Linked DNA regions of Coturnix japonica. The protein of the gene in region 4 purifies or fractionates together with the protein of the main gene of each other region. This does not show direct contact. Links are inferred from orthologs where the notes say so. Each region holds a gene or a part of one and is shown on either strand. Other genes may lie near its edges.

Region 1 (7,303 bases), on a different chromosome or scaffold from region 4:
TTTTAAACAGCAGACAAGCTGCTCCAAGATGCTGGAATCTCCATCCTTGCTTATATATAAAGCCAGCTGGATGAGATCTTGCATGTCTGTTTTGCTCCACACTGAGTACACGTGCATGGAGATGACCACCTCAGGTCCCTTTCCATTTCAATTATCCCATGGTTTAATGCACAAAGTTAAAATACCTGATGAGCTCTACATATGAGATCCAAATCATGTTTATGGAGAAACTTAGCAACCACTTCAGCTCCAAAAGTAAAGGACACTCCTCTGTCATTTTCACCCCATCCTAAGACATCTTTGTCAGGGTCAGACCACAGGAGATCACAAAGAAGACCTTGGTCAGGTACATCAGTGGGACGCATAATTCGTCTGATCTGTTCCATTGACTGAAGGTCTGGTGACAAACCTGTGTGCAGATAAGATAACACAGCTTGCATTTTACTCCACCTTTACACTGTAAAACTGAGGAATCAGCTCAAAGATGAGTGAAGCTTACACAGCCTGATTCCCATCAACATCTGGTGCGGCCCAATGGCAACGTGAAACAACATTTCAATCCAGCATATTTTTAAAGCTTTTCTGACAGGGGACACTATAAGATATACTGGGAGCAAGGTAAGCAAAGCCATTTCCACATGTAAAGGATTATAACAATTCCACTTCAATAATCTGCAAGTGTCTGTTAAAAGAGCTCCTAAGAGGCATTAAATACTAGAAATCACAAGGCTTGTTTATTTTAAAGATCAGGCTGAATAACATGGAATACAGAATCAGATCTTAAACCACTTTTTACTGCTATTCCTCCCGAGAAACTGTTTTACTTGCAGGTGATAATACACACACTGCAGCTTAAATGCTTTGCGCAGCTTTTCCAAGTAGTTAACAACTATCACATAGCACAACAGGGCCAGTCTGTAAACAGAGCACTAAAACACTGTTCTCAGAGTGTTTATACAACTTCTGGTCATGCAAGTCAGAAAACCAATGGGGACTCTTGGAATAAAGGAGACAATACCAGATATGTCCCCTGACAAAGAATACAGAAGGCAGAACTACCAGCTCAGCTATTTATGACAGTACCACTAATCAAGCTCTCAACACAAAGTGATGCAGAGACAAACCCCTGAAGTTTCAAAGCCTCAATAATGAGCTCCAAGACACAAAAAGCCCCTAAAATGTTTTCCAGCAAGAGAGGAGCACATGTCATGAATATGGAATTGCCAATATTTCAGTATTATGGGGTATTACATCTTCATGAAATATCAACTAAAGAACTTAACTTACCTCCGTGACAGCAGAATATCTTCTCATCCACAATTGCTGCAATTGGTAAACAGTTAAAACAATCGGTGAAGGTTTTCCACAGCTTGATGTTGTATCTTCTCTTACCTAGAAAAGATTGGGGGGAAAAAGACCATTCAATCTACTTCTCTAACACAACTACAAGCTACCTACTATGGCTGCCTGTAACTAAGACTTGCAAAAAAGTCATCAATAAAACCTACAAGCAAATATTTATCTTCTCTAATACTCTCTCACATCAGATACAAACCCTGAATGTATCTGCACCATGTGACTAAACCTGTGATTAATCTCTGAGGAGTCAACTCAAATACCACCCAACTCCACTTCCTTGTTGAAAAAGGAGAACGAGACACAGAGAACATTTTGTGACCGACAAGCCAAGCATGTCCCCAGCAGAAGCTGTGAGAAAGCCTCAGTACCCAACCACCGTAACAGCTTTATCTCCTCTATGTGAGATTAGGTCACATCCTTTTGTAACATACAAATGTACACATCTATTAACTTACAGAATTTATTGGGAACTAGATTGCAAGTGCTGTAACCATAATAACACAGAACAGCCCTTTACCCCAATCACAGTATACCTCAAAAGGTACATGAAAGTGACTGAAACCATAAAGCAAAGTAAAATCCCCTAATCTCTGACCAGACAACCTGAAGAACTTTACAAATTCATACCAGTGGGAACAGTTGCTTTACTTCAGTGGCCAATAAATAAAATTACCTCTTTGCTTGCTGTTCTGTACTGTGAGGACCAGACGATAATAAGATCAATGCAAAGACTTCCTTTTGCTAATACAGACCACAGGGCCATCTGAAGTGTGCAGAACTAACTGCAAGTTCAGGAAGTGATTTAATACTGGAGGTCTAGAAGACAGTAAGCACCTCCTACCCTGCTTTCCCAAGCCAAAGGTCCTCCCATCTGACCATATTACTTACATTCATCATAAAATCCATAAATTCTATTAATGCTGGCACATTCATGGTTCCCTCTGAGGAGGAAAAAGTTCTCCGGGTATTTAATTTTGTAGGCCAATAGAAGACAAATTGTTTCTAAAGACTGCTTTCCTCTGTCAACATAGTCACCAAGGAATAGGTAGTTGCTCTCTGGTGGAAAGCCTCCATATTCAAAGAGCCGAAGCAAGTCATAGTATTGTCCATGGATGTCACCTGTAAAAAGCAGTCAGAAATGGCACGTAACTGACTTTGTCATATTTTACAATTATTTTCCCTAGAGAAACAGCACCAACAGGAAAAACCTGCAGACAGATACTGCCTGCAGCATTCCTGAAGATTACATAGTTTGTCTTCATGCTATCACACTCAAAGTTGATATCTACGTAAGACAATGACTAAGAACACATTATGACTCCAGTACGTATCTGCTTTAATATACTCATAGACTCATAAAACAAGTCCAACATCCCAAGAAATCAACTCTACATACTCAAACAAATCTGGCACCCAGTTAAATCCTTTTCTTGACTACAGGCTGCAAGATTAGAAACCCTGACTTCATTCTTGATACAGCCACACTTCAGTAGTGACACTGATGGAAAAACTGCCTGGGGAATTTCCTTTCCTCTATACCACGTCTGGTATTTTCCTGCAACAGCCAGTAACTCAAATTCCAGCAGGGAAGTCGTATCAGAAGAAATTGGTATTCCTGCCTTTGGTTTAAATCATGGTTTTGTTTCAGACAGCAGAACAATAAATCTGGTTTTAAGGCTACCACATACCATAAATATTGAACAAGCTACTTCAGAAGTAAATCCGCAGTGTTGGAGCAGGATAAAACACTGCTTCCTGGAACCTCTACTAACGTGCATTTATTAAAGATTTATTTTGACATCCTTCATCCCTTTAGCATAACTACACATGTGCATGTCTAAAAAGTGAGAACATCACCATACATAAATATGGTAAAACCAAACCAGAAACCACAGGTGATACAGAAATTTAAGCTTCCAGATTCTAAAACTGTGTCAAATCAGGGCTGAGATCTGGATGGCAGCTCCCATCAGCTACTGTGTCTTGTTTTCCTCCATGTTCAGTGACGACAGCACTGAGCAATAACTGATACAAAGGTTCCTTTCCAAAGCTTCTTCTGAATCCCTTTCCCAGGAGACTTGATCAAACAGGACCACTTTCTGGTTTGGGATTTCCTGCTTCCCCCTACAATTCCCATTTACCTCCTTCCCATTCCTCCACTCAAAGCATTCAGGACAGGCTTATTTTCCCTTTTACTGCAATCATTCATCAGTTTTGTAAGCAGAAGCAGCATCTGGCATTCATCCCCTGCTTAAAAGAGGATATCCATCTAAATGCCCCCCACTCCCAACCACGCATCAGATCACAGCACTTACCACATATTTTCAGTGGAGCTTCAAGTTCTAGCAGAATAGGCTGACTGAGAAAAATCTCTCTGGATTTCAAGCACAGTCCTCTGATTTCATTCTCCTGAAGCTGGACATTTTTACCTGGTTTTGATCCTCTCACTGTTGGAAGGAATCAGAAGTCGGTTACCCAAGCCAAGAGTGTTCCCAGCGTTACTTTAACAGTGCCTAAATGCCATTAACATCAAATGGGAATGCAACAACTGTTCTTTTACAATTAAATAATTCAATAATATCTTAAAATAATCTGTATTTACACTTTGCTGCTAAACTCAGCTGTTTGCTGCCTTATTCAAACTACTCTGAACTCTTAAAATAAGTTTTAAGTAATCCAGTGTAAATGCATATGGGAATGTCAGACATATGAACATGCTTGCCATCCCATAACCACTAGCCAGAAGTTAAGCTAACTACTGACAGATTAAAGCAGTCAGGCACAGATAAAGCTGAAAAGTAAACAGCTGGAGCCCCAGAATTCATAAAAAACAAAACCAAATCCATTTCCTTAGAGGAAGAAAATACTCAAGTCGCACAAGGTTTATGAAACACAGTTTTACTCTACTCATAAGTCAGGTTTCAGTTACAATTAACAGGAAGGCAGTACATTACCTGCACTTCATCCTCAGAAAATGCCTCCACAAAACAAGACTTGTCAAAACCTAATGACCTGGCACACCCTTAATGACTGTTTTGCAATTTAAATGGACCAGTGAGACAAACATAATTGTGTTCCTGAAACCTGCCTCAATGTTACAGAGCATACTGCAGAAATTAGAAGTATTAAACAGCTTATTTCAATATTTCAAGATATATTTTACCTTTTTACCACTCTTATTTCACCCTCCCCTGGAGGCTCCAGTCCCTCAGGAGCACCAGAGCCACAGGAACAGCTGAATGCATTGAAAACCTGACAACTGGAAGGAGAGCTGGGAACCCTTCACACAGAATTTCCACTCCATATGGATTGGGACTGTGAATACATTTATTTCAGAAGGTTCCTGTAAATCCCATCCTCAGGCTTTCCCACTTCTTGGTTGTGCCAAAGAGGAGGAACGACATGAGAAAATGTGCAGAGCTAAAAAAGGGCCGAGGACCAGAATAATTTCTTAAATGCATTAAAATCAAAGCCACCAAACTGCTGAATTCTACAGCAAAGCTAAGAGGGAGCTATTAGCATCATTAATGCTTTGAAGAGTCTCTACCATGGAGAGAAATTGAGTGCCTCAAACCTACAAAGGATTTAATCAAGAGGGAAACAGCTCATGTATTTCAGATTCTAGTTCGTTGGCCATTTAAGCTGAGCTATTTCATTACTCACTTGGAGCCCAGACAAACTCACCTGTACTAAAGCAAGCACTGCATTTTCTGTGCTCTCTCCCCTGCCTCACCTATTACCAGTCCCTTTGAACACAGTGAAAGGCAACCTGGAAATTCAGCTCCCAGCTCAGCTGTTTTTTCAGTCCTTCGCTCTTTTCACTCCTCCAGTGCAACACCTCACAGTGTTTGGTTCCCTTTATCACCTGTCAATGCTCAGACACAGAACAAGGACACCAGCTTGGACTGAACAAGTTCCTGCAGCTAACAGAAGAGTTTTCCCCTCATTTATCTGATCCACCCCTCAGTTGCAGACACCATTTTCTGCTACCCAGATATACAAAGATATCGTTATATCCATTCATAAAAGCAACCATCTCTGGGCCCAGTCTCTGCTAGCACTTGGTGTCAGCACCAGAACAGCTCTGCCCTGCACACCAGCTCCTGTCAGTGCCCCTGGTCATGCTCACACTGCCTGCACTGCAGAATCACTGATAACACTGGAAAGCACACAATGTTTTCCTCAAACAAGCTTCAGAATCGAGCTTCAGTCCAAATTACAACACGTAGCGATAGCAGCATTCAGTTAAGTGCAGGTCAAAAGTCACTGCTTTAATAGCGCTATCTTTCAAGCAATACATGCTCTTCTATTACCCGCTGTCTATGTATTACTGCTCACCACTGGCACCGACTCACACGGTGACACTGAAATTACCACTAAACTTCAAGTATTCCATTAAAATATTACAAGTAATGAAGCATACAAATGGAAGTTAAACCTCAGTCGCAGCACTTCATCACACACGATGCTTCCCATCCGCGCAGTCATTTTTCCACCCGTACAATAATTTTCCTAACGCTCCCAAGCAATGAACAAGGCACTAAAAATGCCAAATAATGGACAGACAGGTACAGAACAAAGTGATCTGTTGGTTAAACTGTAAATGCTGATTCTCCCATTCTTCTTCTACAGTCCAACTCATCTTTGGTTTTAGAGATGAGCTACATGCAGGCAAAAATTCAATTTTCCCATGGTTTGGTCTTGCTAGAAATTGCTAAAAAACACACAGAATCAAAACCTGCATCTCACACACATAAATTAAGTATGTAAAAAAAGCACACAATGTAAGCAACACTGAGTCACTACAGCTCATGAATAAAGCATAGGCATTCGTTTTTGTTGAAGATTAAATGGAAATCTAAAAACCGACTGTTTCGGATTCAAGTTTCCAAGGTTTCTGATCTATTTCCATTGGACCAGTATAATCTCCAGGCAGTTTTAGTCCTTTGGCTGTAGGAAACCTCAGTGTGATCAGGAGATGCTTTGTTACAGCTTATACAAACACGGATGTCAAAAGGACAGAAGAAAACCAGGCAGATTTGTCTCAGTTCTGTACTGTGCTGTCTGACCACTCACCCAATGTAGGATCAGCACATGAGAAATGAGCTTGTTCAATTCCTTCTAACAGTGACCTACTTATAAACAGTTGCACAACATATTTCGGGCTTTAGAACAATCAAAGATGCACATTGGTTTGAGAAATCTATATTTTTAGTGCAAGGATTTTCTCCACCGTGATGAAAGAGCTGGTAAGAAAACGCAGGATATTCACTCCTGAATTCTTAAGAGGCTTCTGTGACTGAACCTTACATGATTTAGCCCCAGTAAGAAGGATGCAAATAATATCCTATGAAAAATGTGGTATCCAAAGTTTCTTTTTCTCTGATTTGGACCCAAACCAGGCAGCTTGTAGAGATCAGACCGTACACTGCTAATTGGCAGCTTGGTCAAAGTCAAAAGAGCAGCTGACAGTGCTGTACTCACACATTTGTTCTCTCAGTGCATAAAAAATAACCTCTCCGAAATGACAGCCTGGAACAGAGAGCGAAACAAGCTAAAGATTAATCAGCTGCGGGAAAAAGCCAGGCCATTTCCAATAATATTTTATTTATACCTTGTCTCAACACGCTGCTGCACTATCTCCAGACAGAAATAAATACCTTTCCTTCTTCCATAGGCAGAGACATTCTTGCTTTTGAAATTCATTTTGAGAGCTTGAATTTCAATGTCCAGCCTGGGCAGTTTTCTAACAAGCAAAATCATCTCCAATGTATGAGTGGAAGGAGCTTCAATAAAACAAGTTCTCCCCTGGCTGGAAAAAACTACAGAAAAGATCCCTGAGACCCGGATGCTTTCTCCCAAGCCACAGTGACTGAGCTAGAAAATACTCCAGCTTCTACAGCTATGTACAATGCAGGACAGTCTTAAAGGAGAGCAATACACC
Region 2 (7,303 bases), on a different chromosome or scaffold from region 4:
AAATATGTACAGAGCTAAATATTGGCTTCAGTGCATTGGAAACTACAGTGGAAACACTGGAATATTGCAAAATACACACCAGGTGGCTCCCATGAATGCTCTCACAGGAACAGGAAGAACAAATCAGGACATACTGAACAAATAATAGGCTGAAGGTGACAGTTTCCTGGATCGTGTCATTACAAGTTGTGGTGTCACCACAATCAGCAGCAGTCAAAATGACAGTCCATGGAGTGGTGACGTGAATTCTCCATTAAAGAAATAAATAGGAGGCATTACTTTCAGAGCAACCCATAATTGTTCCTTGTAATTACAAGCTTTAGCTCCTAAGGTAGGTACCAGTTTTAAAAAAAAGATCCCCATCCTTCAACAGAGAAGACAAGTAATTTCTCTAACACATCAATACCACCTGGGAGCTGCTATAGACTCAGCTGTGTAACACTGTATTAGTTTTGGATTTACAAAGGAAAGCTAATACCTAAAAGCATGTTATGCTTAAGACTGATAAGCTTACAGTAGCTGGCACTGAAGGCAGAACCTGTCAATACACGATACAAGTGCAGGCTGGATCATTCCATACAGGCACAACCCTCATAGAGATACTTGAATAAAGACAGGGCAGCAGTCATCAGTACACATTTCAGAGAAATCTGCACAGGAATTTTAGGTATAAGTTACATCTAAATCCTAGTGGAGCTGTTCAATCAAACTGTAGATTTCTGCAGAGCTCTCAATTCCAGTGGTTTCTAATCACCTCCTTGGCAATGCAGACATGATACCTACCACACCATTTCTGGATCAAGCTGCTGCGTAAAGAAGTTAATTAAAAAGATAGATGGAAGACTGTGGGATAGCTCTTGCTACTACAGAAGTAATTCGAAAGCGTTGTCAATTGTTTAAATTGTTGCAATAGTACTCTACAAGGTCCCAGAATCCTCCAAGTATCACCTCCTATAAAAACACTGAGGTGTTTCTTTTGACAAAGAAGAGTGACTAAGTCCCAGTACAGGAAGAAGTCACAGCCTTCTTGCAAATCAAATCCTTTTCTTCCACTACAAAAATTGTGCAGCACAGGGACCAGTACCCAGAATGTATGTTTTCCAACAGTCAGGATCCTTTGGAGTCAGATGGAGCCATGACTGATCCAATGTCAAATGCCTCAACTCAAGCATCAGGCTTGATTGTGACTATGTGCCAGGGGTCTCTTCCACCAACATCTTACAAAACCAGATAAAGAAGCCAAGACCACAGAGCTGGGGTTACTTGTGAAGCTTTTTCTTTCATTTCACAGCTAGAGATTCCAGTATCTGCTATGCATCAGTACATAGCTTTGCCAACAAGACATGAAGCAAAAAATTAGGCATGAATTCTCATGTATTGACAGGAATAATTAGATGCACTTGCCCCTCTGACACAAGTGGTCATTTATGACTGGGAAGCAAAATATTTCTTAGCAGCCAGATGTACTGAAAAAAGCAAGACAACAACAACCTTTGCAGACAATATACATTGTGAGCTGAACATGCACATCCTCGCAATTCAATACAACAATAATCCAAAGAACAGCTTAGACACATCCTTTAAAAGTAGTCATCCATTTACCTCCATGACAGCAGAAGATCTTCTCATCCACAATGGCTGCAATTGGCAAACAGTTAAAGCAGTCTGTGAAGGTCTTCCAGAGCTTAATGTTAAACCTCCGCTTACCTACAAGAGCAGTGTGAGAGATTAGGAAAAGATGACTATTTTCTTAAAGCCAACCTACAACATGTATTACAACTTGATTGGGGATGTAAACTGACTGTCTTCACACAGCTTTATTTCTGAAACCTGAGTACACTCAGAGACTCCTACAATACCATTTCAGAAACAACAGAATAGAAAATAATTCTAAGTTTAACCTTCTTTTGATAGGCTCTTTGAGAAGGTTTCAAAGCAGGTTCACAGAACACTGAAATTCTTATAGCACATGAATCGTGAGTCATTTACCAGAAGTACTTCCAAAACACAGTATTAATACACATCAGCCTTTCAGAAGAAATAGGTTTAACTTACATTCATCATAGAATCCATAGATCCGGTTGATGCTAGCACACTCATGATTTCCTCTTAAGAGAAAGAAGTTTTCTGGGTACTTTATTTTATATGCCAGAAGTAGGCAAATGGTTTCCAGAGACTGTTTGCCTCTGTCTACATAATCTCCAAGGAAAAGATAATTTGCTTCTGGTGGGAATCCTCCGTATTCAAATAGTCGAAGCAAATCTGTATACTGACCATGAATATCACCTGAATAAAAAAAGGATTACCACGGATGAGTGCAACAATGTAAGGAGTAAACATATCAAGAGCTTAAATCACTGTACTAAGCTTCCCATTCTCTGGCATTTAGGACAACTCCCTGGATGCATTTATTGTAAACAGTACAGAGACTGAAAGACTGATAGCCCTGACATGCTACTCAAAACTGCAGAAGTCTTAGGAGCAGTAATGATCATGTTACTCATCACACTGCCAGTTTTAAAACTAAGATGGCTTCCATCCACATCCACACAATAGCTCTGTGCAGCAACTAAACCACCACAGCACATCACATCAGACTAGGCTGAAGTAATTACCCTTGAGCTGCCCATAAGGTCAAAAGTGATACCAAAGCTCTACCGTAACTTGTACAGTAGCTGTGATATACTTCAGTTGACTGCAGAATTCATTAACAAAGTGACTAAATGCAAAACTATGCCTAAGAAACCCTTAGTAAAAGCTGTATGCTGATAATACAGACTACTTCTTGATCCCTTACACTAAGCATGTCATGAATACATTTTCAACTGTGCTGTTTGTTCTGTGGCAAAATACCTGTCTTTATTAAGCCTAGTAATTCTCCAGTAGAGAACTAGCTTCCTTGGCTATAAAGAGCAAAACTGACAAACAAAATGTCCCCACCCACATGCCTACAACTTGTTTCAGAACCTTAAACCAAACAAAAAGACTTGCACATCTTGTGTGGAGTCACATACTCCAGCAGTGACTTCATGCCTTATTCCTCTTTATCTTTCCATGAGAAAAATCAACACTATTTTCTTTCAGCAGACAATGCTTTCAACTATTTCTTGCTCAAGGAGGGGACTTGCACACCACTTTCCATTTAATAATGAACATTATTCACTACCCAACTGCAGGCCCTCTGAAGTTCTACCAGCTAAAATCATTTGTGCGTACACTACAAGAAGAGTTTCTACTCCACTTGGTATTTAGAAATCTCCAGGTTAAGACAGAAAAACATGCAAGTTTCATCAACATGTCACCATGGTGTTGAATCCAGTACTCCAGAACTATTGAATTAGTACTCAAACTTCATCACCATCAGAAGTACTCATCACCAAAATAAATATACCATGGAAATATTTAATGTTCATTGTCTGAAACTACTTTAAGTTACACACACAAGCTAAAGGGATTAATGGACATAGAAGAATGAAAGACCATTCTGTAGAAACTATTGTGAAGTGACCAAAGCATTTCAAATTATTCCTTTGCAGGCACCTGATAATTTAAAATACAACTTCATACAGGCACAAGTTGAAGCCTATCAGAGAAAGAACTACAGCTATTTTAAAATGGACGTTTACATAAGAAAATCTTCCATCTTATGTTAGAACAGCCATTCAAGACTTAAAAGCTTATTTTGAACTGATTACAAGACAGTTCTATAACAATTTCTCAAGCACCACCTGAACACATTAAACCAGTAGTTCAAAGCAGTACAGCAGCATATTGTGCTCTCAGTGAAAGCCATCACCTCTCTTCCACTTCTAAACAAATACAACTTTGACAATTTCTCTAATGTTTAATTTAGATCTACATGTCACTTCCAGGTGCTACCGCTTTGTTAAACATGTAACTTAAAAATAACAAATCTCTTACATAACTGTGCATTTGCTATCTCGACTACTGTATATCTAAGAGCCTTCTGAGCTCTTTAGATTTAAACAAGTGAGAAACTAACTTTGTTTGAAGGAGTCTCATTATACTTTGCAGATTGAACTTAAGAGTGTATGCAAGTCTTTCAATTTTATTCTGTCTAGGAATTAGATGACACTATTCTTTTTCTCATCACAGAAAAAATAAAATGAAGTAAAGCTAGATTTTTACCTTCAAATTTATGCTGTCAGGCAAGCTGGTCCTGTTCCTCCACTCCTCCATACTCAAGCAAGCCATTACTCACTTAAAAGTGACTTTGCCATTTAAGAACAAACATAACACTAATAACTGCTAATATTCTAAGTGAATGGCAATGACTACAATTGCTCCACTAGTAAGTGGACTAGTAAGTACTCCATCTCATCTTATATGAAGATCTTTCTTCAGTTTCTGCTATGAAAGGAACAACAACAGCAACCATTTACTACTTAGGTGTTTTTAGAATGCTTTGAGATAATGATCCAAACAGTAGCAGCTCTGTGGAGGAAGCCCTTAGGACAACAGACAGGCTGCAAAATTTGCACTAGAAGAGAAGTGCATGCAGCTCTTACTGCCATCAGCACTTGCTCCTAAATAGCACCAAGAGCAAACATTAGTTCCTTTCTCTTGACTAACTTAGATTGACTCCAATCTAAGTTGAAAATGATGTTTAAGGTTGAGAAGACCTCAATCACTAATCTGTATTGCTCAAATCAAGGTCATCTGTGTATCTCAGCATCTCCTTCATCAACTTTCCTTCTCATTCCAGTTAGCATACAACTAAATCAACACACCTACATAACAGACACACACATTAAGTTTACATACCACAAATTTTCAGCGGTGCCTCTAGTTCCAGGAGAATAGGCTGGCTAAGAAATATTTCTCGTGATTTTATGCACAAGCCCCGAACTTCTGCTTCTGTCATCTGAACAATCTTCCCAGGACGACATCCTCGTACTGTAATGAGAAGTTTAACAATTAAGATAGCTGGCACACAGACACCTAACAACAGTTAAGTGCAGATGAGCTGTGTTTGAAGTCTGTATCTGACACACCAACTTATCTACTAAATGTGGGAACTGCATATTCCAGCCAGTTCTAAAGTTAAACTCTGATATACTGGCAACCTGCGCTTAAGCTCCGAATGCATCCCGGTTAAGTCACAGTCCCAGAAAGCAGCAATTTAGATCTTGCTTTTGTCTGTATTTGGATAATAGCAACTTCAAAAAGTGTTTAAATGAATTATCAGATTATGCTAGAGTATTTGCAGCAGGCAAAAAAAGCCTTGAGAATGGAAATCTCAAATACATTGACGCAAAATGATCTAGGCCAACTAAGTTCAACAAGGCAAGCATAATAAAAAGGAACGTTTGTACTTTTTGCAGCTGAAACTGTCCTATCAGGAACATCACATTAAACTGTGTCTGTGCTGATTAAAATCTTCATTCATACATAATGGATCTCGAGTTATGGGAACCTCAGCAACCAAACAGACATTCAATTAGCTTGACATTGAATTCCTATATCCACAAGCCAAGTATTCCAATCCATACTTAGTCCTGAAGTTTCCAAAAACATCCCCACCGCACTCTGACTAACATCCTCTGCCAAGCCTATCTGCTGCTGCTTCTTTCCATGAATACCTACCTGATTCCTCTCTCAGGCTCTAATGTGTACATGCGGCAGAACAAATGTCTACATTCTGGCTGATGTGATTCAGTTCTACATGTCAGTATAAACTAACAATCAGATGCAACTAATAGAGCAGAACACAGCAGTGTCTATACCAGGCTACCATCATGTTCTGCCCCCCTGCTTCGCATGGAGCAACACTCAGCTTTAAACCACAGTAGCAGCTATAAAAAAAGTGGTATGAACCTTTAGCAGACCAAATCATGTTTTCAAACTTTAACACAGTAAGACTTGACTCAAAAAATATTTGCTGCAGTTTCAGTAAGTCTTATAAAACTTGCTAACAGAAGAGCAAAATGAATACATCTTTTTATTGCAGCTCAGCTCTCAGCCAACATACTTTGCAGAGTAGATCACTGCCATCTACGTGGGGGAGAAAGGATATAAGGGGAAACAACCCATCCTAAGACACATAGTACTGAAGTCCAAAGAGTTAAGATCAGAACGCTCTGCCCTGCCTATCATTGTGTACTTCCCCCAGAATGCATCTGATCAGTTCAACACTGCTGCTTGTTTTTAATTAAAATAAAAGAAACCAGATCACTTGTTTAACTAAGGTTAAGCAGCCACACAAGAGATGAAGAGGCAAAAAAATAATAATTAGTACTTCAAGTAGGGAAGAGAAGATGTGAAACTACATCTTGGGGCAGCCAGCGGGAATGCAACAATAGAAAGAAGGTCAGCTTATCTTCAGTGATGATACACTGCTCACTAGAATCCCATAAGAACGAGGCTTGCAGAAGCACCATAAGGAGACTTCAGAGAAACTTGAAATGTGACGTGACTCCAACTCCATGTGACATTTACCATACGGTAAGTCACACGCTTTCCTCTAACTACATTAGAGAAAGCAGACAGCTTTTACTAACCTCCTTGTAATCTAACATCTTAATGCGGGAAGAATGACAAGTTCATTGTCTGCCCTTGTATTTTTTAAGACACAAAGTGATCGGAGAATAAATGCACACAGGCCTCAGTCGCAGTGCATCTCAAATGTCTACAACATGATGCTCTTCGATGCATCTTCAACCCCAAAGGGGTTATTGGCAAGAAATAAACCTTGACAGATTTGCACAAGACTTGACGACTCAATCTGCAGGTACCAAAATCCTCTAAACACCTCCATGCTTTTCAAGTGCTTGCACTCCAGTAGCTCATACTCATCCCTTTTGCAGACCTGAAACTCGCTGTGCTAGACACAACAAACTGTCACTACACCTAAGAAAGTTCCCACCTGAGAAGAGCACAGCACAGCCTTAACAGTTCCCATTACTCTTTCTGAGATAGTTATGCTTCATTTTAAACCCATGGTTGTCTGATGCCTATAACATCAAGGTCCTACTGAGTGCTTCTTCAGCCTAACTAGCTCGTCTGCCACATTCTGCTCCACTATCTGCTTTCCTTAAAACCCTTCTGGTAAGAATTAAGTTTTCTTCTGTATTTAACTGCTGCCAATGTTTTGCAGCGCCAAAATGAAATCATGTAATAAGGATTAAAACCAAGAAGTGACTTAATTGCACACATATTGCACCCAGTCTAGTTTAGAACTCAAACCCAGGAAATCCCACTATAGATGACAGTGATGTTTCCTCAAATAGCCCCAGACAAAGCACAGAGACCAAACCCGAGGCTGTAGTTCAAGGAGGGCACT
Region 3 (7,303 bases), on a different chromosome or scaffold from region 4:
AGACCTTCCCGTCCTTCAAGAAGCCTTCTCCCCTTTGTATTTCAAGAAGCTATTTGCTCTGCACAGGGCACTAAAACTGCTGAAGACAAACCTGTGGGGACTCTCAGAGGAGTTGTTTGGCATGGACACTAAGAGATCCTGCATTTAAATCCATCAAGCAAAGCAAAGCAGAAAGACATAACAACATGCTTGTCCTGAGCGAAGGACACCAGAGGAAATGTTCACTCGCATCAGTAAGTGGGTGCAACATCCACTAAAAGTCATGTTCACTTACAGAGCTAATTTGCTAGAGTGTAATCACTGAAAAGGAAGTGTAAGCTCAACTCTCTTGCTAATAAAGGACAGTACTAATGGGAATATTGAACACAGAACTCAGACACCCACTTCACACCTATAGCAATATGTTTCTGGCAATCAGCAGCAGACAAGTTGATACAGTAGCCAGAAAACGGAGATACAAAAGCTGAGGCATTAGTGTGATATGTATGGTGCTTTTCCATGAAGAGCTGAATCACATAATTGCTCAGGCTGGAAAAGACCTTAAAGAGTTAAAACAGTGCCTGGAGGAATTGGTCTGTTCTAGGAAAATCAGTGATGGCAATATGTGGAGCCCCAGCCCACAGGTGTCACCAAGGAGCCCTTAGACAGCAACACACCAGCAATAGGAAGGTGCCGCTTTGCTGAATATTCCTAGTTTATTCTCCTTTAGAGCAAACAGACAGCTTGTGGCTGGGCCTAGAAGAAACGAGGCTCAGACCTGGGTGGTTTCACCATGTGCAACTTGACATAAAGCCTGGCAGAAGCTTCTCTGGACAGTGCCCTAAAGCAGCAATGGCTCCTGGACAAAAAGCACATCAGTTTTCCCGTACGTTCCACTAGACTGCTCACCTTCAGCACAACCCGCACTGTACCAAGTTGCTGTGGCACAGCCAGCTTCCCTTACCAACATGGGCTGCAAATTCCAGGTGAGAGACTAAACCTAACCCCAGCATGGTACATACAGGAGCCCAAGCACCCCTGCAGACCTGAATCAACTTGCTTCTGCTTCTTCACTTCAAAGCCTGGTTTAAAACAGTTTCTTGGGTACTTCAGCTTCTGCTTTTGGGATCCATTCCTCTCACTCTCCTGGAAGCTCAGGAACCAACTCCAACACTGTTAGCACGTACTAACTGGTGGAGGCAGCTCTGTGCATTAGCCAAGAGCAGAGGACCAGGCTCCTCGCTGCCCATTAGGCAGCTCTAAGCAGATCACACTGTCAGGAAGCAGCAATACTGATCACTCTGTAAGCCAAAGAGCAATCTCAGACACGAGAGCTAGCATGCAACCAGCTTACAGAGCCTGTGGTGAGGGCACTGCTCTGGAAACTGGTATCTGAAACAGAAAGGGCAGCTGTGGCTTGTGGTGTTGCTTTATTTATTTATTTCTATATATTTTAAACAACTAATTGTAATAGTCACTGTGAAGATTGCATCAATCTTAGCAAATCATAGCATTAGCTTTTTTGGGTAGAGTTCATTTCACTGTGTATTAAATCACAGAGTTGTTTGCTGGCTGAGGAATGCTTGAAATTGGCCGAGAAAGGATCAGACAATTCATGCGAAGCTGTCCCCTTAACTAATCCTCATGTATTTGGCCAACGTTCAGCTTTTGCATTAATTACTGCCATATACAAGCACTGGGGAGGAGGGAGAGTTTGCTCATTGTCCCCTTCTAATTGTGCCCAAGCACACAAGACACAGAAGCCTACCTTTGCCAGCCGTTCCTTCTTGTCCCACCAGTCATCAAATGCCCGAAATGCTACCACTTCAACCATCTTCCGGTTCAGGTCCCTTTTCATGATAGCCTTCAGTTCCTTCACGATGACCAGGAGGACTCCATCCACAGTGGCTTTGTGGGGATCTTCCTTCTTGGGCTCATAGCCCGGTGGTGGAACTGAGGGGTCAAACTTGGGCAGTGGTGGCCACTGCTGCCCACGACCAAGAGCTGCTCCCATAGAGAACGGGCGGTAGGGCGGCAGATTCACAAACTGCATCCTGCCCCCCATGAAAGGCGGATATTGGTATGTGTTCTGTGCCTGCATCATGCGGCTCAGCATCTGAGTTTGCATCTGGAAGGACATGGGCATGCCACCCCAGTGGTTGCCCAAGACACTTATCATATCCACCTGCATAACTGGGAACATGCTGGGATGGAAGGGAGGAAGCGGAGGCAAGATGTGAGGTGGAGGGACCCCAGGGGGTGCGGGGAGCGGTGGTGGTGGCACGGTAACAGCAGGGTGTGTGGGAGGAGGTGGAGGAGGCAGCGGCGGAGGCATCGGGAAAGCTGGTTGTGGAGGAGGTGGTGGAGGAGGAGGAAGAGGAGGGAATCCAGGCGGTGGCGGCAAGGGAGGGATCGATGGGGCCATGACGCCTGCGTTGCTGACTGAGGAGTTGACCACAATGGTTTTGGCACATTCTGCACTGGTGATGGGTGCAGAGTTCATCTCATCATCAGAGATTTCCATGTCCTCCCCTGAAGAATGCTGACTCTGAAACAAAATAGAGAAAAGGTGAAGAGCACATTCCTTTTGTGATAAATACCACAGCTCTGGCTGCTTCTAATAAACCCAAGTTTGACACAGGTTTTAATTGGGATCTGAGCAAAGCCAACAGCACTCTGAAAAAGATGAGGTCCACTGAGCAGCTGGCTCCTGTTGAAGCTTTTCTCTCCTGTGTCAGACCTTAGGAAGCAGGGGTAGAAGCTTTCTCAAAGACCACCAGCTCTGGGCAGCCTGGTCTAACAACTGGTAACCCTGTCCATGGCAGGAGGGTTGAAACCAGATGACCTTTGAGTTCTTTTTCAATCTAGGCCATTCTGTGATTCAACCAACCCAAAACCTCAGCTTCTGTGCAAGACTAAGACTTGTTCCCATACTTAGCAAAATAGACACAACCCAAACTCCTTTCACTGCACAATGTATTATTTCCTATTTGCATCTAATACTGACCGGTGCCTTATGCCACAGGTTTCATTCTTTAGTTTTTACCACATACACAGTTTCTATGTTTTTGAATTATTATCTCTGTCTCACTGGCTGTCAACTCTTATCCTCTAATTGTGGAAAGACAGTAGCAGACAAGGCTGCTGCTATTAGAAGTTGTCTCTACTGGGCCAAAGCAATTCACATTGAAAAACAAAACCTGAATTTGCTTAAATTACCTTTAAATTTCACAGTCATAAATACTGTGATTCAAAGACACAGCAAATGTCATGTTTCTAAGCAAAATGAGTACTGGCCACTGGATGTCAAAAACAAGAGAGGGTCCCAAGTTACCTTCTCCAAAACTATTTACACCATTCTTCCTTCTTTCTCAGATAAAAATGGCAAAACTAGCACTAGGGTGACAGCAAACACCACCATATGTTTTTAGGACCGAAAGGCAGAAGCTCTCATTGTGACTTTCTCGCTCAAGCTCCCAACAAGCACAACTGGCCTGCCTCCTTTGAACAACTTATCAAGCACTTCCTTCCTCATGACAGTTTGCACAAAGGAACTAAACAGTTTGTGCCTCCTCTTCTAAACAGAAACTATCAATCCCATGTCCCGCCCCTGCAGCCAGCCAAGGAAATGAGACCGACCGCAAGTCACTGGCCTACTTAAGTATTTCTGCATCTCAGTTCTGGCAAGAGCTTTTGGAATTTGTTGGCTGTTTTCAGCCAGTCTTGACTGGAGAACCCCAAGATGTTTATTTCTTCCACGCTGTGGGCCAGCAGTTACCTGCTGTCTACTCTCCTGACCTGAAAGAAAGGAAGAATGGAGCTCCTGCTTTGTCAGACACTGAAGGAACTGCACAGGGGAACTCTGTTGGCAGTTCTCTTCCCAAAGCTGCTGTGATTTCAATTTTTACCTAGGAATTTTGCTCAGGAGTAAGAGAACAAAAGCAAAAGCAGCTGAGTTGATGACTCTGCTGTGAGCTGTACCAAGCTGAGCAACCACAACCACCCCATCCAAACCAAATGCTTCACATTTTTATCAAAGGTCATTCCTGCTACAGCAGCTACCACCAGAGAGCAGGCTGAGCACAGTGCTTGCCACAGCAGCTTTGCAAATCCTCCTGTCCTAGCACCTCCCCTCGCCCAGGCTTCCTCACATTCTGTGCTGCTGCAGCACGAGCCCACCAGTGCACACACAGCACGGATCACCCCAAAAAAACTGCAATCCTAGCTTTCTGAAGATGCTTAATCTCTGGGCTCTATAAGGAGACCACCGTTCATCCCTGCAGAGTGGTTCACAGCATGAATGAGTGCTGAGTTCTGCACCCTGAATCCCTTTCCCCAGCTGCTCAGCTCCACAATCTCATACCACACTGTGGATACCAAGGAATGAAAGGACATTCTGCAGTTGCAGCTAACACAGCTCCAGTGAGAGGGACAAAGGAAGAGCAACCAAGATGATCATGGCAGGTGTAAACAAGTCTCCTGTGAAACAGAGCCCATTTTTCACCAAACAAACACATAAAGCACTGTTAAAAGCACAAGCTCCAATTGCAGAAACTGGATCATACTAAAAGACAGTACTGGATGAGAAGCCAGAAGCATCCAGCCTACCACAGAGAGACAAAACCAACTTCAAGTTTACATTCATCTCATCCATGGGGAATATGGAGGAAAGTCACCCTGTGAAGTCCCTGTGGAGCCCCAGAGCCAGACAGCACCATGGAGACGTGTTCCCAGCCACAGCCCCTTAGGGATCCCTAGTCTTCCTATAGGGTCTGTCCCCTCATGCACAACCTGACCAGCTGATACTGAAACCACAGCTGGCAGGCCTGAGCTGCACATCAGCCTCCTTCATTCTCCTTCATTCATATATGTCTCATACATGCACTTAAGCTGAGCTGAGAACTGCTAAAGCAACACAACTAGCATTCCTGGAAGACGCTTTTAAGTTCTTGTACTTATGTACGTCTGCAGGAAGCAACAACAGATTCCCTGCTTCCTGCAGTGTGGGGCTGACAACTCACCTACACAGTGAACAACCAGTGCTCCAGTTTTATCCCAGGCAAAATGGAAAGGGAAACATTTAACAGCAGGGAGAAAAACACCAAAAGGGCAGGGGGGAAAAAAGAAGAATACACAAGGTTAGCAAAGAGGTCAAACCAAAAGAAGATCTTCTATGGGGAAGTCTTTGAAGAAAGTTAAGAAAAATTAATATTTTAAGCAGATGAACAGTTACAGGAAAGTTGTATCTAAGGGGAAAAAACATGGGCACCAACTGAGAAAGATATGGGCACAGAAAGAAGTCAATGCGAGACACAGAAAGACCTCTTGTGGCATGAATTTCTTTTCATTCACTCATCTGAACTTGAATTTGCTGTGGCTGCTACCAAATATCTCTTAAAGTAAGGCTGAAAAGCAGCTTTGCCTTCTGGTTTCCTCTTTGCTTTCACAGGGGGAAAAAGAGCTGCTAACTGGCATACATACTGCTGCGAGGACATCATTTCTATCACCGTCAAAAAAACTGTGTCAATCAGTCCCAGAGTTCACCTGCACATTTCTGAGGGCACAATACCTCCAGAAACCCTCCCTTCAGCCCATTGAGAGGAAAGCCATTTCCTTCTCAATTAATTTGTGCTGCCATCTTCACTTTGCATTAATTAAATTAAGAGTTAGCCAAACAGGTATTTAATTATATGCACGACACATTTTTCCAAAGGTGTTTTAATGATGTAAATTTGTTGGGAGAGACTCACGTCAGCGTAACCACTTATAAAGGGCCTCATTCATTGTCCAACACGCTAACTGCCACCTTTAGTCCTGGCACAGTGAGGTTTAGCTCAGGTAGAGCCTCCCTGAGTTCAGCAAAATAAATATCCTAAGATCTTCCTTCTGACCAATCTGAATAGTGACAGGGTAGAGAGCTACTGAATGCAGGGTATCGGTCTTAGAGCTAATACCCAGCATTTAGCAAGCAAATATTCATACCTGCAGCAAAAAGAAACTACTTCCTAATATTTGCATGCAGAACTGGCAGCTCCAGGTGTGCAGAGGCTGTTCTCTCCCCGGCCCAGAGGAGCACTGACACTGCGGCAGCGAGCTTCAGCGTGAATGCCGTTCGGTCCCTTTCCTACGGGCAGAGGAACTGTGCATACTTTCATTTCCTTTTAAAAAGAATTCAGAATGCATTTTGAATATTGTCAGCTCACAGTTAATTTCATTTCAACACTTCAATTGGTACCGAGTTACCTTTATTTGAGGTAAGTAACATCTACCACTGAACAAAGCTGCTCTGATACAGCCTGGCCGAGCTCTGGTGCATCAGAATAATGAAATGCAAGATCAATGGCATCAGCATGATGCAAGGTCATTAGCTTTAACGAAGTGAAGCATCCAATGCTTGCAAGATGAAGCAAACCTGTAAGCCTGCAGCAGGCTCCACTCACAGAAACCAAATGGGAAAATCACTCTTTAAAGCCTAAAACTTCATAACTTGCATGATCGAATACTGGCAATCTTTCCTACTTGAAATGTTAAGCACCAGCTTGTCAGTACAGCTAGAAGTAAAATCAGAAGTGTTTCCTACAGAAAAAAGTTTTCATAACCCTACTGACTGTCAAACAGTCCTCACTTGGTTTTGGACCAACTTTGTGCAGGGATCTAAAAACACTCACATATGAGCAAGCCTCACCCTTACCCTAACAAAAAGTGGGGAAAGAAAAACCCTCTGGAAGGGATGGAGAGATAGGGAAGTGACACCTGTCTGAACAGGGTCATTCAGCGAGTGCTGAGAGAGCTGAGAATAGCCTCTGGGTCCATCCTGTGCTGAGCCCGCAGTGTGCTCCTTGTCAGGCAAGGGAGCAGCTGCAGCCAACATGCTGCGATCCCTGGGTGAGAGCAGCACTGCTGTGTAACAGCTCAGTCCTCTGCCTCCTGCAGAAAACATTAGAGAGAACAAGATGCTTCAGACCTGTCGCTTGCATATCTTACAAAAAGGATGTATAAGGATGTAAAGCTGTCACACCTGCAGCTCCTCTTTCAGGGGCAAGATTCAATGAAATGTTCCTTTTTAGAAGAAATGTATATATACAAACTCAGTCCAGAGAATCCCACCATTCACCTTGCTAACACCTCGTGAAGTCCAAAACTCACCCAGCAGAGCACAGTGAGGGATTCAGGGAGCACTGCTTTGCTCTCTGCTCACCTGCTTTTCATCAGAGAAGGGCTCAAAGGTTCCACATGTTCCTGGCACACCCTGAGGAGCACGGTGTAGCCCTCAGGGCTGCTGCCATGTCAGCATGCCCATGCTGAGCACTCACACCTCTGGGTG
Region 4 (7,905 bases):
TGAGTTTACAAACTCAATGTCAGAACCAATTTAAGCAGAGCTGTGCTAATAGACAAAGTCAATGAAGAACTCCTGTCAGACATTACCAACAACACTGACACAAACTGCTCAGAACCAATGGACTGTAATTTTTCCAGCCTTGGGAAGAAGCAGTGCCCTACAGAAGGATTAGCCATCTATTCTGTATTCTATATCCTAAACTGGACTTCTAAATTAAATTCAAATCCTTTCATTGATTGTTGTGAAGGTCTAGAAAGCCCTTCAGTGTTATTGATTTGAAGAATGTGGCTATTGCAGATAGTGACTGTGGGAGAAACAGCATGGAAACCAATTCTCTACATATGCCTACTGCACAGAAAAAAAGCAGTGGGGCTAATGAACAGAAACAAAGCTTATCTCAGAAGAGCTCTGCAACCTCATCCAGGTGTGGCTGGTGGTTTGCCAAGTCACCTAAGCTCTGTGTCATCTCTGCTGCAGAACATTCCCTTCCTTTGCCAGTGTATCAGGCATTTAGCCCACTTTCTGCTGCATTCTCCTTCTTCCTCATTTCACAAGAAGAACACAAGGCACAGAGGGTAACTGATTACAGTGGTATCAAACAACAAAATGAACTGTGAGCTTTTATTCTTCTTGAACTCCCCAGGGTCAAGAAGTGAAAGTTCATCTCACTCACAGCACCTACACACCTCACAACAGCACGCTTGAGAGAACTTCACTAAGCTGTGCGTTAGAGCTGAACATCAAATCCCCCGTGGCAGCACACTCACCACCTAAAAGCTGCTGCAAATTTTTGCCAGCCCTGCTGTTTACCCAGGCACATCACTTCAAATGCATGTGGATCAAAAACGCTGAACTACAGCAGATCACTTACCATCTATCTTGTTGGAGCTGTACACAACTGTGTTGGCTGCGTGTGTGTATCTGATGAGGTCCACTCCATACTTCTTACTGTACAGCGTTCTCTTTGGTCTGTTAGAAGGAAGCAGAAATAATTGCCCTCAATGCCACAAAGCTCTAAGTGAAACTGAGCCCATTAGCAGTGCCTCTTTTAATTACCATATTATGAGATCGTTTCAAGGAGTCAGATGTTTTTATGCAATGAAAGAAAAGCGTTTGTATTTCATTTTCAAACAAGTACCTCAGTACTATCTCCTAGACCATCCCTATGCTTGAGTTCCCTGCAATGCCAACAAAATTCACTTATTAGTCTCTTTCCAACATTCATTTTCCCTACAGTGTCTATGTGAAGAGCTGGGGTAGCTAGAATAAGAAGCCTTTAATGCCAAGCAGCACTGCCTCATCAGTACCTTGCCAAAATCCATTTCTAATCCATTTGCCACATGTTTTAGATTCTATCTTTTTGTCCTATGCTATCTCAAAACCTCAGAGATCTCATTCAGATTGTCTTCCTGGTATTAAGACAAATACATAACAGTGCTATAAGGAAGCAATGGTAACACAGGGACTCTCAAACTGCTGGAGAACTATACTCAGATCCTATATTAATTAAAGCATGAAACTCAAGTGTAACATTATGTGACAATATCAGAGACATTCTAGAGAGCAAAGACACACAGAACTGGTTGTTAAGGGTCTGGTAAGCGAGCAGTATTCTGCAGTAGTTAAATTGCAAAGGAACTGTAGAAGCAGCGGTGTATCTTTCTGCAGTAGCAGAAGCGAAAAGAGGCACGAGGTCTCTCCTTCCTCTTTCTTCTTCAGCTGAAGCAGCACAGTGGTTTCTGAGCAGGGCAATGGACCCAAATGGGTACTGATATCAACATAAGAAATTATGCAGTCTCTTTAGGGAGTTACTTCTATTCCAGTCCCACAAAATACCTTATTATTACAAATGGAAGGCAACAGCACACAAACAGAAACGAAACAACAGGAGCAGTTTAAACCAATTCTGCTGCCAAAGAGCAGTTCACCAGACTACACCCTCAGACAAGGTATGTCTAAAACACTCAATTGCTTCCTTGTGTTGTTCAGCTCCAAAGCGACACACCCAAACAAGAGCAGGAGCTGGAGATGTTTCCTATCAGAACAAAAGCAGACATTGATCTTAAAGATCAACTCTTGAACAGCAGAAGCCACATGACTTTACTTCAAGTGAGCCTGCAGGAGAGAAGCTTCCATTAACTGAAAGTCAATACAGCACAAATAATTCAAAGCCCACCCCCACTTCTACCACTTGCACCAAATCCCAACAGATTCTTCCTCAGTTCCTTCCAGTCGATTTTTACATTGCTTCCAAGATTTTCACTGATGCAAAGGAGCTACAAACTGAAAATGGAACACATATAACACACTTCCAAGTACAGAATTTAAGTCTAGATAACTAAACTCTGTAACCTATTATTTGTAGCCACCTCAGTTATGATGTTGAGTACCTACAAAACAGCTTGGGTGCGAAGGGATCTTCCATACTGTAGTAAAGAATACCTACACATACCAATGCATGCTCAGAAAGTCAATAATACCATGACTACATGTAGATATGTAGTAAGAAAGGTGAATATATAAGCCGATACAAGCAACAGCTGGTCCCTTCATGCACTAGATTGGCAATCTAGCCAGCCCACCTGCAAATCAAAGCAAAGCACAAAGCAAAAGTCTAATCTGCTATAAAGAAACAGAACAGGCAAGGCTGGTACTACAACAATTCCTGCTGGTAAAACCATCACCCAGAACCAGTCACCAAACATCTGGTGAACACCATGGCTAAGCAAGAATCCAGCTCCATCACCTCTTGATTTGTATAAATAAAACACAATTGCTACACACTAAGATACAAACGGAACCCCTGCTAAGCCATCTTTGCATCACACCAGGGCTGCAGATGCACAGCCACGAGCCTCCAGCTGAAGTCCCACAGACTGCCAAACTGCCCCGATACCTACAGCCTGATGTTCACTTCCATGGCAGTGGTTACACAGTTCCTACATTGGTGTGGCTTATTTGAAGCAGCAAAGCGAACTAGGTGAGTGCATGCCTAGAGTATAACTAAACACAGATCCTGAAACATGGGCTACCTTGGTGAAAGCAGCCTGCCCCATAGAGCTGCAGCAGAAAGCCATCAATTTTCTACACTTACCGTAGGTTAAAGCAAACCTCACTGTAAAGCACACATCAGTATCAGCCAGAAATGGTGATGGAAGGGCCAAATGTCTCCCAACCCATCAAACGATTCTCTACAGGATTGAAAGGGTAAGAGCAATCAATAAAGTCTGCATGAACATCACTCATCCCTTCTGCTGCTGCGCATAACCACAATCAAGAATGCAATCCAGAGCAGACACCAGCCACGTAATGTTACCTGCTCTTATAAAAATGAACACAAATTCACTTCAAGCAGAAGTCTGCGGTATCAGAGTGGGAAGAGTAACAAGTCTCACTTGAAATATAAGCTAACTAAACAGAAGCCTAACATATGATAAGTAGTCTACAAAATGAAGAGTATATGCAGGATGCAGTCTTCCAAATACACTGAGAATGATACCTTAGTCTGCCTGAAAAAGCAACAGGGCTACACAGACACACTGGACAGCAGAACAATTTCTCTTTCTCTCCCCTCATTATTATCCTGTCATTTTAATTCTCCATCCTACAGCAGATACACGGGTTTTCCTTTCACTTTCTGTACGTACGTGATGCTTAAAAACATTCCAAATATATACTGCAGAATCACAGAATCACCAAAGATGGGAAGACCTATAAGATCATCCAGTCCAACCATCCACCCATCACCAATAGTTCTCTCTAAATCGTGTCCTTCAATGTTTCTTGAACACCTCCAGGGTTGGTGACTTCACCACCTCCCTGGGCAGCTCATTCCACGGCCTGACCACTCCAGCCTTAACCTCCCCTGCAGCAACTTGAGTCCTTTTCCTCTAATCCCATCACCAGTTACACAAAAGAGGCCAACCCCCAGCTCACTACGACCTCCCTTCATGTAGTTATAGAGTGATAAGGTCTCCCCTGAGCCTCCTCTTCTGCAGATTGAACAATCCCAGCTCCCTCAACTGCTCCTCATAAGACTTGTGCTCCAGACCCCTCACCAGCCAAGCTGTCCTTCTCTGAACACGCTCCAGGACCTCCGTGGTCCCAAAACTAAACCCAGTACTCGAGGTACAGCCTTATCAGTGCTGACTACAGAGGGACGATTTGTTCCCTATTTCTGCTAGCAACACTATTTCTGATACAAGCCACAATGCCTTTGGCCTTCTTGGCCATATGGACACACTGCTAGCTCATAAAGACAAGCAAACCACATATATTTCAAGCCAGATTTACAGATTAAAATAGGAACACAGTATCATTGCAGTTGGAAAAGCCCTCTGAGAGCATCACCATGCACCCACTCCCATCTGACCTCATCCCTCAGTACCACATCCCCATAGTTCTGGAACATCTCCATGGAGAGTGACCCCCAACAGCTCCCCATGCAGCTGTGCCAGTGCCCGTCAACTCTTTTAAAGAACATTTTCCCAGTCCCATACTGGAGAAAAACACAGAACACAACTAAACCCCACTCGGGAATGGGGTTTTATCAGCATACCCCCAAGCTATTTTAAGTTACGGCAAGTAGACAACGCGCTATGTTCGCATTTTATTTATGGAATGGTCGAATCCTGCTGCTTAGCAGCGCTGCTCACAGCAATTACTTGTGTTTTAGTGAGGGGAAAAAGCCAGTTTGTATGCTCGGAACTAGCAGGATGCGATCCTTAAGCTGTGTGTGTCTCGCTATAAAGATATCTCCCCTCGGGCAACCAATGGGACCAAACAACGCTCAACACCCCCCAGCCCCTCACTGCTCCCACCCCCAGGCCTCACACACTCACTTGCCCTCCTGGCAGTCGTACAACACGATGGAATCGTCGTCGCTGCTGGAGATAACGGTCTCGCCGTTGGGGCTGAAGTCGAAGCAGTTGATCTTGTCCGAGTTCTCGCGGAACACTTTGGCCACGCGGAAGCTCCGCAGGACGTTGTCCGTCAGCTTCATACCGACGGGACGGGCCGCTCTCACAGGCGGCCGCGCTCAAAGCGGGGCGGGCGGGGCCGCCGAGAGGGCCGGGAAAATCAAAGCAGGCCCAAAGGAGAAAAAAGGGGGCGAGATAAAATAAAGCGGGGCCTGGCGGCTCAGTGAGGCTCAACAGAGGACGGGAAAAGGCGACAGGCTGCGTGTGGGCACGGTAAAGCGGGGAGCGGCGGGGCTGGGCCCGCTCAGGCCGCGGCGCGGCGGCTCCTCCTCATTGTGTCCGCCATCTTGGGCCGCCGCTATGAGAGGGGAGGGGCAGCGCGCGGGGCATGATGGGGCGGTGAGCGCCCAAAGCACCATGGGAGTGGGGACGGAGAGGGGAGGGGCGGCCGCCATTTTGAAGGAGGCAGTGGGAGGGATTTGTGGTGGATATTGGGCTCGGTTCTGTCCATTCCTGTGTGGGGTTGTTGGCGTTATGACCTCAGCTCTTAAAGAATGTGAAGTGAAGCTCGTAGCGGGTGGGGAAAAGCAGTGTTAAGTCAATGAGGAAAAGGGTTGTGAGGCGGCCTTCTGTGGGGCTGCAGTGCATCCCTCAGGTTGGTGCTGGAAGGGTTGCCTCAGGTTTATCGCTGCTGCCCTTGTTGCTGCTGTAGGTCCACCTCATTGGTTCATTGACAGAATTCCTGCTTTTAAATGCTGTTTTTAGTCATATTGCTACACTTACAGTGCTTTTAATTGCATAAAGCAGCCTTCAAGCAGTATTGCACCGACACAAGGGCTATGGCACTGTGCTCTTACAGCACTGACAGCACTTAAAGAACATCCAAGAAAGACACCTTGGCTCTTCAGGTAGGTGCTGTGGTGCAGACGCCCCTGGGCTGTCATTTTACCCATCATAAATACTGCTACCAAGATCTATGTTTGTGTTTCCCTACATCTCAAACCTTGAAGTGAAAATCCCCCACCAATTTGATGGTTTCCAGCCCCCTGCTGTGTTAATTTGAGAAGAAAAATGGAAATCTTTTGTTGTCTCGGCCTTCAATAAACTTAAAAGCAACGAAGAAAGCATCAATAAAAAGTAAAAGCCAAAGTTGCTTGTGTGGATGTTAATTGAGTTTTCCGCTTCAGAAAGTTTGCTTCAGAATAATATTGCCCTCTTGCGGTCATGCTGCGATAAGCCTGGGAACTTGGCAGCGGTCTGTACGTCGTCTAAACGTGTCATTATTTTACCTGTGCGTGGCTTTTAGTCAGTTAAACAAAAGCCTTTTTTGAGATGTTTATTTTACTGCTTGTTTTCTACTGCTCGTCCTTGCAGGCTTTGGCACCTATCCTGATTCACCTCTACCTGCTGCGATGTCGGAATGATTCACCAAGTTTTGTTCTGAGGTGGATGCAGGACTTTAAAGCCTCAGGAGTCTCCACAGAATGCACTTTCATTGCTTCGGAGTGTCTCAGGTTCAGCTGCTCCATTACAGGTCAGTTCAAAACCTACCATCGATTTTCACATCATGAAAGGCTTTAGAGAAGTTCAGAACAGCATGCTTCTTGCACAGTGTAAATGGCATCAAAGCCTGGATTATCTCATCTGGGCCCAGAAGATGACTCACTGATCCCATCATAAGGCAATTTCCTTCAGAACACCTACAGTACTTAGCCAGGTTTTAGAGCTGTATAACACCGTGGGCTGTTGATTTGATAATGTAGATGGTACCCCTGCAAAACTAGTTAATAGGAAAAAAAAGGTTTAATTGCTGCTTGAGTAATATTGATCAAATGCAGTCATTCTACATATGCGTTTCTATATTAGGCACCACTGTAACTTGCGCAATACAAACAGGCCTGTGCTTGCATTAGCTTGGATGGGTGGATGTGAACTTCCAAGAAATGTTTCTGGAAAGAACACTACTTAGGTGAATACATTTTCCCCGGACTCTGCTGGGAGGGATGATTCAGTGGGTGACAGCTGTGTCTGAAGACTTGTGTAGAGCACCTGAATCCTACAACTTAGCATTGCTCTGTGGACTTCTGAAGCTAAATGTGATGCTCTGGAATCCCTGCTTTTGTAGTATGTGACCTCAGAAGTGTTGGTGGGAGGGGACCTCTGGAGTTATCTCCTATCATGGAGCCCATAGCATCTCTCCCTCCCTGATCCAGTGCTGTGCTATTCTCCCTATAAAGATCTTTTTGCTCATGTCTGATATGAACATCTCAAGTTGCAAACTGTGGCCATTTTATACTTCCTGCCACTACCAGCATCTCATATCTGTTGTCTTCACAACCTCCCTTCAATTAATTGTAGCTATGATCAGGTTGATCATAAGTTGGTTGTACCAGTTGGTTTTCAGCCTTCCCTGGTGCATGTAGATCTTGTCCCTGCAGCAAAACCTCACGCTTATTGCAGTTTATTGCAGTGACTCTGGAAGGTAACTTTACTACTCAGTGCATTCCCCCAGGTTAGTGTTAGTGGGATACAGAATTAATTAATATTACTAAATAATCAGTGTCCCCAGGTGACTAAGGAAGCTGTGGGGTGAAATAAACCCCAACTGAAACCCAGGACTTCCTTGTTCATTACCAGCTGTCATCTGGACACAGAGCCACTGATGTCTGTGCTCGGAGCCCAGTGGTCGAGGTGTTTTGCAGCCAGCATAACAGTACATTTACTCAGCCAGAACTTCTTCAGCTTGCTAATGAGAGCGATGTCACTGAAGTCAAGGTAGATCACGTCTGCTGCTTTCTGCTTTCCCCATTGCCTATCATCTCAGCCTAGAGGGCAGGCATAATTGTCATCCTGTGACTGATTAATATTCCTTGCTTTTTGTCTTCGTGTTATTTTCAACTAAGGAGCTCATATTTTTTTTGCTCTTCATTCCAAAGAGCATGCCCTTGTATTCTGCAGGACTGAATTTCAAGTCCTTTCTATTATT

Evidence for each region.
Region 1: the proteins of WDR82 (region 4) and PPP1CC purify together in Homo sapiens (affinity purification with mass spectrometry; 5 studies listed by BioGRID and IntAct, with this or other methods). This does not show direct contact. The link is inferred for Coturnix japonica from reciprocal best matches to the Homo sapiens genes WDR82 and PPP1CC.
Region 2: the proteins of WDR82 (region 4) and PPP1CB purify together in Homo sapiens (affinity purification with mass spectrometry; 5 studies listed by BioGRID and IntAct, with this or other methods). This does not show direct contact. The link is inferred for Coturnix japonica from reciprocal best matches to the Homo sapiens genes WDR82 and PPP1CB.
Region 3: the proteins of WDR82 (region 4) and SETD1B purify together in Homo sapiens (affinity purification with western blotting; 4 studies listed by BioGRID, with this or other methods). This does not show direct contact. The link is inferred for Coturnix japonica from reciprocal best matches to the Homo sapiens genes WDR82 and SETD1B.

The regions. Positions count from the first base shown.
Region 1 is NC_029530.1:5,181,580-5,188,882, forward strand, and holds part of PPP1CC (serine/threonine-protein phosphatase PP1-gamma catalytic subunit), read right to left. Parts: intron 3,807-7,303; coding exon 3,675-3,806; intron 2,479-3,674; coding exon 2,248-2,478; intron 1,393-2,247; coding exon 1,288-1,392; intron 410-1,287; coding exon 186-409; intron 1-185. UniProt on the Homo sapiens protein: Protein phosphatase that associates with over 200 regulatory proteins to form highly specific holoenzymes which dephosphorylate hundreds of biological targets.
Region 2 is NC_029518.1:24,310,260-24,317,562, forward strand, and holds part of PPP1CB (serine/threonine-protein phosphatase PP1-beta catalytic subunit), read right to left. Parts: intron 4,918-7,303; coding exon 4,786-4,917; intron 2,287-4,785; coding exon 2,056-2,286; intron 1,708-2,055; coding exon 1,603-1,707; intron 1-1,602. UniProt on the Homo sapiens protein: Protein phosphatase that associates with over 200 regulatory proteins to form highly specific holoenzymes which dephosphorylate hundreds of biological targets.
Region 3 is NC_029530.1:4,866,011-4,873,313, reverse strand, and holds part of SETD1B (histone-lysine N-methyltransferase SETD1B), read right to left. Parts: intron 2,528-7,303; coding exon 1,748-2,527; intron 1-1,747. UniProt on the Homo sapiens protein: Histone methyltransferase that catalyzes methyl group transfer from S-adenosyl-L-methionine to the epsilon-amino group of 'Lys-4' of histone H3 (H3K4) via a non-processive mechanism.
Region 4 is NC_029527.1:1,816,252-1,824,156, forward strand, and holds the start of WDR82 (WD repeat-containing protein 82), read right to left. Parts: upstream 5,303-7,905; 5' UTR 5,003-5,302; coding exon 4,842-5,002; intron 970-4,841; coding exon 872-969; intron 1-871. UniProt on the Homo sapiens protein: Regulatory component of the SET1/COMPASS complex implicated in the tethering of this complex to transcriptional start sites of active genes.